Linked DNA regions of Arabidopsis thaliana. Each later gene encodes a partner of the first gene's protein in a complex. Each region holds a gene or a part of one and is shown in the gene's direction. Other genes may lie near its edges.

Region 1 (3,926 bases):
TAAGCACAGAGAAACGGCAAAACAAGTGAGAGCCAATTTTGCTTCAATAGGAGAAACGTAGTAGTGGCAGTTTTATTTTAAATGTATAAATTGAAACAAAGTGTTTTTCTCTTGAAGCTGAACATAGATGGTTTCACTTTTGTCTCATGTAAATATGGTCATATGGATTTTGCTTTATCCACAAGGTATCACACTTTGAAATAACTAAAATAAAAAATATGAATCAAGAAAATCAATAAGCCGCTACATGTCACTTCCAAAATTATGAAATATGAGATTCGAATCTAAGAGGAGTCTTAAACTGTTAAACAGAGACGTGTTTACAGTCAAGAGAAATTTATAACATGGGACAAATTTTATTTTATTTTATTTAATAGCGTTACAAATTTACAATGATCATATTACATAAGGAGGATACAAAAGTAGAAGAAGAGCTAGTTTAAAAGTCCCAAGAGTCCAACACTGATTCATGACTCATCGTCTCTTCTATTTCTGCGCTTCCACTATACAAATTAGAACCATCGATTATTTTAACCTTTAGTTTTTCCAAATAATCTCTTGAGTTTAATTTAAAAAATAATATTTTCAGGACTATATGTATACCTAAACAGTGACAATGATGTTTCTAAGATTTAAAACACTTTATTACCGAAATATATCTCAAAATTTTACTATTTCAAAACGTTATGTTGCTATTTTATTTTTCACCACATTTTCGAAACATTAGCATACCGTTCAATCATTTGAACATTCCATTGTTAATCTATTATTATTATTACACTAGTCAAACTTACTTCAAATTTATTTATACAAAGGGGAATATATTTTATATAGTTAGTAAAAATCTCAATAATCATTAAAATAGATTTTCTTTGACATATTTCCAAAATTGTTAGATTGTTTGTTTGTTTTTACCTTCTGAAAAATGGTTACCTAATGTACGACGAGGTTTGCCGGGACATCGACGGTAACAATTCTGAAGGCACGTGATCGGAATTCTTCCTGTGGTGGCACAACCTAGAATGCAATCTTCATGGCATTGAGCTTTCGTCTCTCCATTGACATTTTCCATTGCTATAACCATTGTCACCACAAACACCATTATAATCATTGAATTCCATTTAGCACCCATATCTTTAACTTTTTTGTTGTTGCAAGTGTTTCATGTACTTAAGAAATAATGAATAGCTATCCTCTATTTATAATCTTTTCTAATAGTTATCTAATTCTTAGCTCTTATCGTCTCTTCTTCTTATTTGTTATAGGAATTGCTCTTCTTTTTTTTTCCTGGTCAAAGTTTCTTTGTAATAGAGACTAGTTACTTTTTTGGTTAATCTTCTTCTGTTTTTTTCTCTATTTATAATCTTTTCTAATAGTTATGTAATTCTTAGCTCTTATAGTCTCTTCTTCTTATCTGTTACATGGATTCCTTTTTTCTGGTCAAAGTTTCTTTGTAAGAGAGATTACTTACTTTGTTGGTTAATCTTCTTCTGTTTTCTCACAGTTTATTTTAAGTTAATTTGAGATTAAGTTAATTTGAGATTTCATTGGACAAAGAAAATTAACTCTTGAAAGAATAAAAAATTATGTCAGAAGTGGGGTTTGAACCCACACCCTCTTACGAGGACCAAAACTTGAGTCTAAGGCCTTAGAGCATCCACATTGGTCACTTATATGTAGATGTCTTTAAATATAAAACTATAAATAATAATAATAAAAAAATTATGAATGTTTTTAGTTTGAGATTTGTGTTTCTGTAGAGACACTTTAAACACAACAAAAGTGAAATGTCTTTAATTTTATTATTTATTTATACTAAAAACATCTATAAAAAGTTGTCTAATGAGGTTGCTCTTAGACCACTTGACCATCCTAACGGATAACATAACCAATACTAATAGTATCATTATATAACTTACTAAGCATTTTGGAAAAATATATAATTAAACAAGAGTTATGGGTTCTTTACGAAATATTACACAAGAAAGTACCTTTTCTTATAAATACAAGATAGTAACCATTAGATAAAGTAAAAATAAATAAAAAACAGAGAATCTGAAGATCGTAGAAGAAATCGAGAAAACGCTTTGTACCAATTAGAAACCCTAGCGAGCGGAGGAAGGAGACAAAGAACGAGACTTTTGAGAGATTGGAGATTTCAATTTTGAGATCAAATCTTGAAATCAACAAATAGGAGAAAGATTTAGTGATGGGTAAGAAGAAGAAGAGAGCTACAGAGAAGGTGTGGTGTTATTACTGCGATAGAGAGTTTGATGATGAGAAGATTCTTGTGCAGCATCAGAAAGCTAAGCACTTTAAGTGTCATGTCTGTCATAAGAAGCTTTCTACAGCTAGTGGCATGGTGATTCATGTTCTTCAGGTTCATAAAGAGAATGTTACAAAGTATGTGCCTTTTCTTTTTACCCTTTCCCTATGGCTCTTTTTGTTGTGTTAGGTTGATTTGGAATATTAGGGTTGTTGCCTCTATGATCTTTGTTCAAGTTCTGATTTTTTTTTTGCTCTTGTTGTGTGTGATTGTCGTTTGATTTCTGTTAGATTGCGCTAATTGTGACTGTTGTGTTGTGGTTTGAATCGGTTGATTGTGTATGTTTGCTGGAATTTGAATCGTTTTTTTGGATTATCTCTTGAATGGGTTTGGTTAATTTGTATATGTCTGGTCATAAACCCTAATTTCTGATTGCAATTTTTGTAAAGAAACAGTCTTTTGCTTTTGCTTTTGCTTGATAGGTTTTTCTTGGAATTTGTGGTACTGTTCAATGTGTTTGCCTGTTGAATTTGGAATTTGATTCCATGACACTACTAACTTTGAAATTATCTACAATTTTCACACCAGAGTTCCTAATGCTAAAGACGGTCGAGATTCAACTGATATTGAAATATATGGAATGCAAGGAATTCCACCCCATGTCTTGACTGCTCATTATGGAGAAGAAGGTATGCATTTGAGATAGTGAGAGTACTGTTTAGATTATGAGCAATTGATTTAGAGAAGTAAGGCGATAAATTTGTATGTCTCTTCATCAAGTGTTGTAGATCTATTGCATCTAGTGGTCATGAATTCGTTTTGATTTTGCATGCGGCTTTTTGCCTTATCAAAGTTATTATATATTATTGTTATGTTTGCTTGTTTCATATGGTACCTTTTGAACTGAAGTCATGTTTTCTGCAGAGGATGAGCCTCCAGCCAAAGTTGCAAAAGTTGAGATTCCTTCTGCCCCTCTTGGTGGTGTAGTTCCTAGACCATATGGAATGGTATATCCGCCTCAACAAGTACCTGGTGCTGTACCTGCACGACCAATGTATGTACTAATTATACTATACTCTCTCTATGGCCGTTACTTGTTGAATTCTTAGATGTTGTCTCTGTTTTTAAAAATCCGATCCATGCTAAATGATGGGGAACTTTTTTTCTTTTAGTTCTCTTGATGCAAAAGGTTCTTGGTTTCTTTAGTTTGTCTCTGTCCTAGAACTTTTCTACTTTTGTTCTTCTATAAGACCACTATAACACCCGTAGTAAACATTTTTTGAAATAGATCGTTATCTAAGATATTGTTGCACTTAACCAACTATGACCCATAAGGTTCTTAGTTTCCCTAGCTTGTTCTCGTGATTTTTCAGGATAGAACTTTGTCCTAGAACCATTCTTTTGCTCCTCTTCAAGACCACAATAACACCTGTAGTAAACAGTTTTTTGAAATAGTTCATGATCTTAGATATTGTAATATGTATGGCTATTGACCATGATAAAATATTTCGTGTTAGCAGGTATTATCCGGGTCCTCCTATGCGTCATCCTGCTCCTGTATGGCAAATGCCACCTCCTCGTCCGCAACAATGGTATCCTCAAAATCCAGCTCTTTCTGTACCTCCAGCTGCCCATTTAGGGTATCGACCACAACCACTTT
Region 2 (3,926 bases), on another chromosome or scaffold:
TTTTGTAATAGGTTTTGATTTATTGTTTCTTATATGCTTCTTTTATAAGGAACATGTAATTAAGTAAAAAAAAAAGATTTGGTTCAACATAATCCTCAGACCAATTACAATCAAGGATCGCTAAAACATCTGACTTCCATCAAGTTAAAGTTTGGCTACATATAACCACGCCACCACAGTATTCAGATCACTAAAACATCTGATTTCTATCAAGTTAACATCCCGGTAAAGCAGATTTAGGGATGGTGCTTAGCAATGAGAGGTTTCAGCTTCTTCTTGTCAGCAAGAATCTTGAGGAAGTTGAAGAGGAAAGGGACATAGTTGTGTTTCCTTCTCATGTTCTCTTTCTTCCAGTTCTTAGATTTCTCCTCCTCCATTACAATCTTTTGTGAAACAGTCTCTATCCCGATATTGACTTCCGAAAGCTCTCTATCAAGAGCCTCGTAACTGCTTTTCTCAGCGTATTTATCAGCTTGCAAAGCACCTAACTGCTGCAAAACCCTCTCTCGCTTTCTTTGATACTCTTTCAGTTCAGCTACATACATCTCTTTCCTGTTCTTAACTACAGCTAAGAGACTAAACCGAATCTCATTCTGCGAATACCGGTCAATCTGCTCTTGTACCACAGGTTGGACCATTCTGAGCCACTCGATTCCTTCTGGCTCACCCAGACACTGTCCAAGACTAATGGGTCCTTCTTTAAGACCATCGAGCTCATATAAGATACCATCAACAGGTAAGTAGCTGATGTAATGATACACATCATCATCTTCGTCTAGATTTTTCGCAGCAGCTAATTCTTCATCTTCCATGATGGAAGACGGGTCAGGCCTGGCAAATGTGTTGTGAGCTGCACGTATTGCCTCATTGTTGTTGATGGCTAAACCTTTCAGTTCAGGAGGAAATTCTTTGGCGAATTGTTTCAGTTCTGATAGTTCTGAGCCAATATCAATACTCGAAGAGTTCATGAGGACTGATAATATCGCTTGGGTCGCACAAGCATTGTTGATTATCTGCAAGAAACACATAGTTTATAAAAAAGGTAATGATTGGAAAATCCGTGAGTCACAAATCTAATGTGAGAGTAAAAGACCTGGCTTGCAAAGAAGAAATTCGGGTTTGGCTCTGTGATGACAACACGATTCTCCTTTTCTTCTGGACGCCACTTGTAAAGCAATATCAATCCATAGACAGGTCTGCAAATATCAGACAACTCAAGGTAAATTTGACTTTGTTTTTCTTCTGTTTCGAACAATAGAAGATGAAAGAGTAACAAGTAAACTACCTTATTTCATCCAGAGAGTTGAAGTCCAAGGAATACAATTCCTCAACCTGCACACCTTTCACTTGCATTTGTTGTATAATCTCAGTGAAAATACCTAAAAATATAGAATACAGAAAACCAAAAAATATGAAGAAATAACAAACAAGAAAGCGACATTGGTCTTACTCACATATATGGCACAATGGCTATCGAGAGACACTAATCCACTTAGTATAAGACAAACACCATTGTTGATATATAATTTCAAAAAGCATCAATACTTTTATTTTCCAATCCTCACACAGTAAGTATCACCTCTTGTAGATGCAGAGAAGACTATTTTCAACATTTGTTGGCTTCTAATTTGACAAAATCCAAACATAAATCAGATTCTACAGGAAGCCAAGACTATTTTCCAAACATTTTTAGTGCTCCACTATCAAAACCTCGTTACTGACATCATCTCTTTATATATCCAGAAAACAGGAACCCCAAATTGTTAAAGAGAATATATACCAGGATCAGATTCTACAGGAAGCCAAGACATGGTTCAACGATGACTCGCGCCGGTGAAAATGGGTCTGAATTTAGAATTTTCACTCTCAAATTCGCGCTTATCTATCTCCTCCCATCGATTTCATCGTCTTCACGCTAGCTGCAGACTCGAAAGAGAGACTATAGACTGGTGTGGTCTCGATTTTGTCTTAATAGAGGTCGCTCTAAACCGAGTAGAAACGAAATTGAATTCATCCAAACCATTTCAATTTCTATAAATCGAACCAAATCAAGTGAAAAACAATTCGGTTCTGGTTTTATTAAACTTACTCGAACCGAACCGAACCGATAACGTTCTTATATATCCTTGCCGGAGAGAGCCAAAGAAATCTTAGAGATCAAACAATGACGGCGAGTGAGACTATCGCCACCGCGATAAATCAGATTGATGAGAAGAAGGAAAAGCTAAAGAAAGCTTTCGACGATCTTCAAGCTCATCGCTCTCTCCTTTCACCGTCTTTCTCACTTTCCTGGTCTGAGATCGATTCTCACTTTTCCTCTCTCCAATCCTCCCTTGCTAGCCGTTTCCGCCTCCTCCACTCTACATCTCCTTTGGAACATGATTCGTATAGAATCGACGCTTCTGATGCAGGGAAATCGTCGTCTTCGGAGGAGGTATCGGAGCAACCCGTTGTTGAGCCGGAGTTGAGAGCCTTGTGTGAGAAGATTGACGGAATTGGTTTGATTAAGTATTTGATTAGGATATGGGATGATGAAACTCCTCTCAATCAGGAAGTTTCTGCAGCGATTCGTTACTCTCCGGATACGGCGTCCATGGTGCTTGACGCGATTGAAGGTTCGAACTACACACCGTCATCATCGGGAAGATCATTCGATGTAAGGAGAGTTTTCGTTTTGTTAATGGAAGTTTTGATTGAGATCAATGCGAATATCACTGTTGATACGAGAAATAGAGCTAAGAAACTGGCTTACCATTGGAAATCTAAGGTTGGTGTCAAGCCTTTCGAGGCGTTAGTGTTTCTGCATTTGGTCGCAGCTTTTGAATTAGGATCAGAATTTGACACAGAGGAGCTTTCTGATTACGTTTTCATGATCGCTAAGTATAAGCAAGCAACTTTGGTTTGTAACAAGATTGGTGTAGATAGGAAAAGAGTTGGGAAACTCATCAAGACTCTCTTGGATTCTGGTAAACCAATTTTAGCAGTCAAATTCATGTATGAGTGTGGGATGACTGATGAATTTGAGCCAATCCCTGTTTTGAAATCTTACATTAAGGACTGTAGAGAAGCTGCTCTTAGAGTTTGCGTGGAAGATAACTACTCTCTCAAGTCGCAGAACGAAGCCTCTGATAAAGAAGTCAGTGCCTTGAAACCATTGATCAAAATCATCAAAGATCAGAACCTTGAATCAGAGTTTACTCAGGAGAAAGTTGAGGAACGTGTAGAAGAGCTGGAGAAAAATAAGGCATTGAGGAAACGCAACACGACTAATCCTCCCAAGCAAGAGCCACAGCAAAAGGGGAAAAAGCGGACTAGAGACTGCAAAAATGGGTCACAAGTTCCAGTTCCGAGTCAGCAGCTACTTTCTAGACCAGAAGCTCTTCTTATGCCTGAGCATAGTCATCATGGCTTACAGTTGAACCCTTATGGTCTTATGACCTCAGCATTTTCTGGTGTTGTTGTGAACCCATTAACTGGGCTCTTTGGTTCAGGTGCAACTCCTCAATCTCTTTACTATGCTCAGCAAACTGGATATGTGTTGCCGCCTCAATACCACCCGCCTTATTATTCTCAGTAGCTAGCTGCATCTCGACAATAAGATCTTAATCTCCTCAATGTAAAATGTTATCTTTGTAGAATATTTGCCTTGATGGAAAGTAAAAAAATCATTCTAACTCTATGTCTGAGGAATCTCATTCTTTGTTTTTTTGGTTTATATAGAATAGTAGTGAATTTTTCTACAATATTGGATCATGTTTCCTACATTATAGATTCTTCGAAGAATTCGCCTACCCGCCCGTTGGCGTGTCTTCAAACCTCATCACCTTCTATTTCTAGAGGTACCAGTAGCATATGCGCGAGGAACGAGGCTCTCGACGGGCACCTTAATAGCATCCTTTCTCATACCAATATCTGCAAATAGCTGA

Evidence for each region.
Region 2: SUF4 (region 1) and FRL1 share a complex: the UniProt entries of both Arabidopsis thaliana proteins name them as parts of the transcription activator complex.

The regions. Positions count from the first base shown.
Region 1 is NC_003070.9:11,041,877-11,045,802, reverse strand, and holds the start of SUF4 (zinc finger (C2H2 type) family protein), read left to right. Parts: upstream 1-2,029; 5' UTR 2,030-2,209; coding exon 2,210-2,403; coding exon of another isoform or gene 2,404-2,407; intron 2,408-2,854; coding exon 2,855-2,955; intron 2,956-3,190; coding exon 3,191-3,320; intron 3,321-3,786; coding exon 3,787-3,926. Other genes in the region: AT1G30972 (Plant thionin family protein), read right to left, coding at 893-1,132. UniProt on the Arabidopsis thaliana protein: Sequence-specific DNA binding factor that recognizes the 5'-CCAAATTTTAAGTTT-3' sequence. Recruits the FRI-C complex to the FLC promoter. Required for FRI-mediated FLC activation, but has no effect on the expression of MAF1, MAF2, MAF3, MAF5, UFC and CO.
Region 2 is NC_003076.8:5,342,343-5,346,268, forward strand, and holds FRL1 (FRIGIDA like 1), read left to right. Parts: upstream 1-2,152; 5' UTR 2,153-2,164; coding exon 2,165-3,577; 3' UTR 3,578-3,764; downstream 3,765-3,926. Other genes in the region: UCH1 (Peptidase C12, ubiquitin carboxyl-terminal hydrolase 1), read right to left, coding at 237-1,013, 1,094-1,196, 1,286-1,379, 1,781-1,811; AT5G16330 (NC domain-containing protein-like protein), read right to left, coding at 3,821-3,926. UniProt on the Arabidopsis thaliana protein: Required for FRI-mediated up-regulation of FLC transcripts, but not redundant with FRI and only partially redundant with FRL2. Required for the stabilization of the FRI-C complex.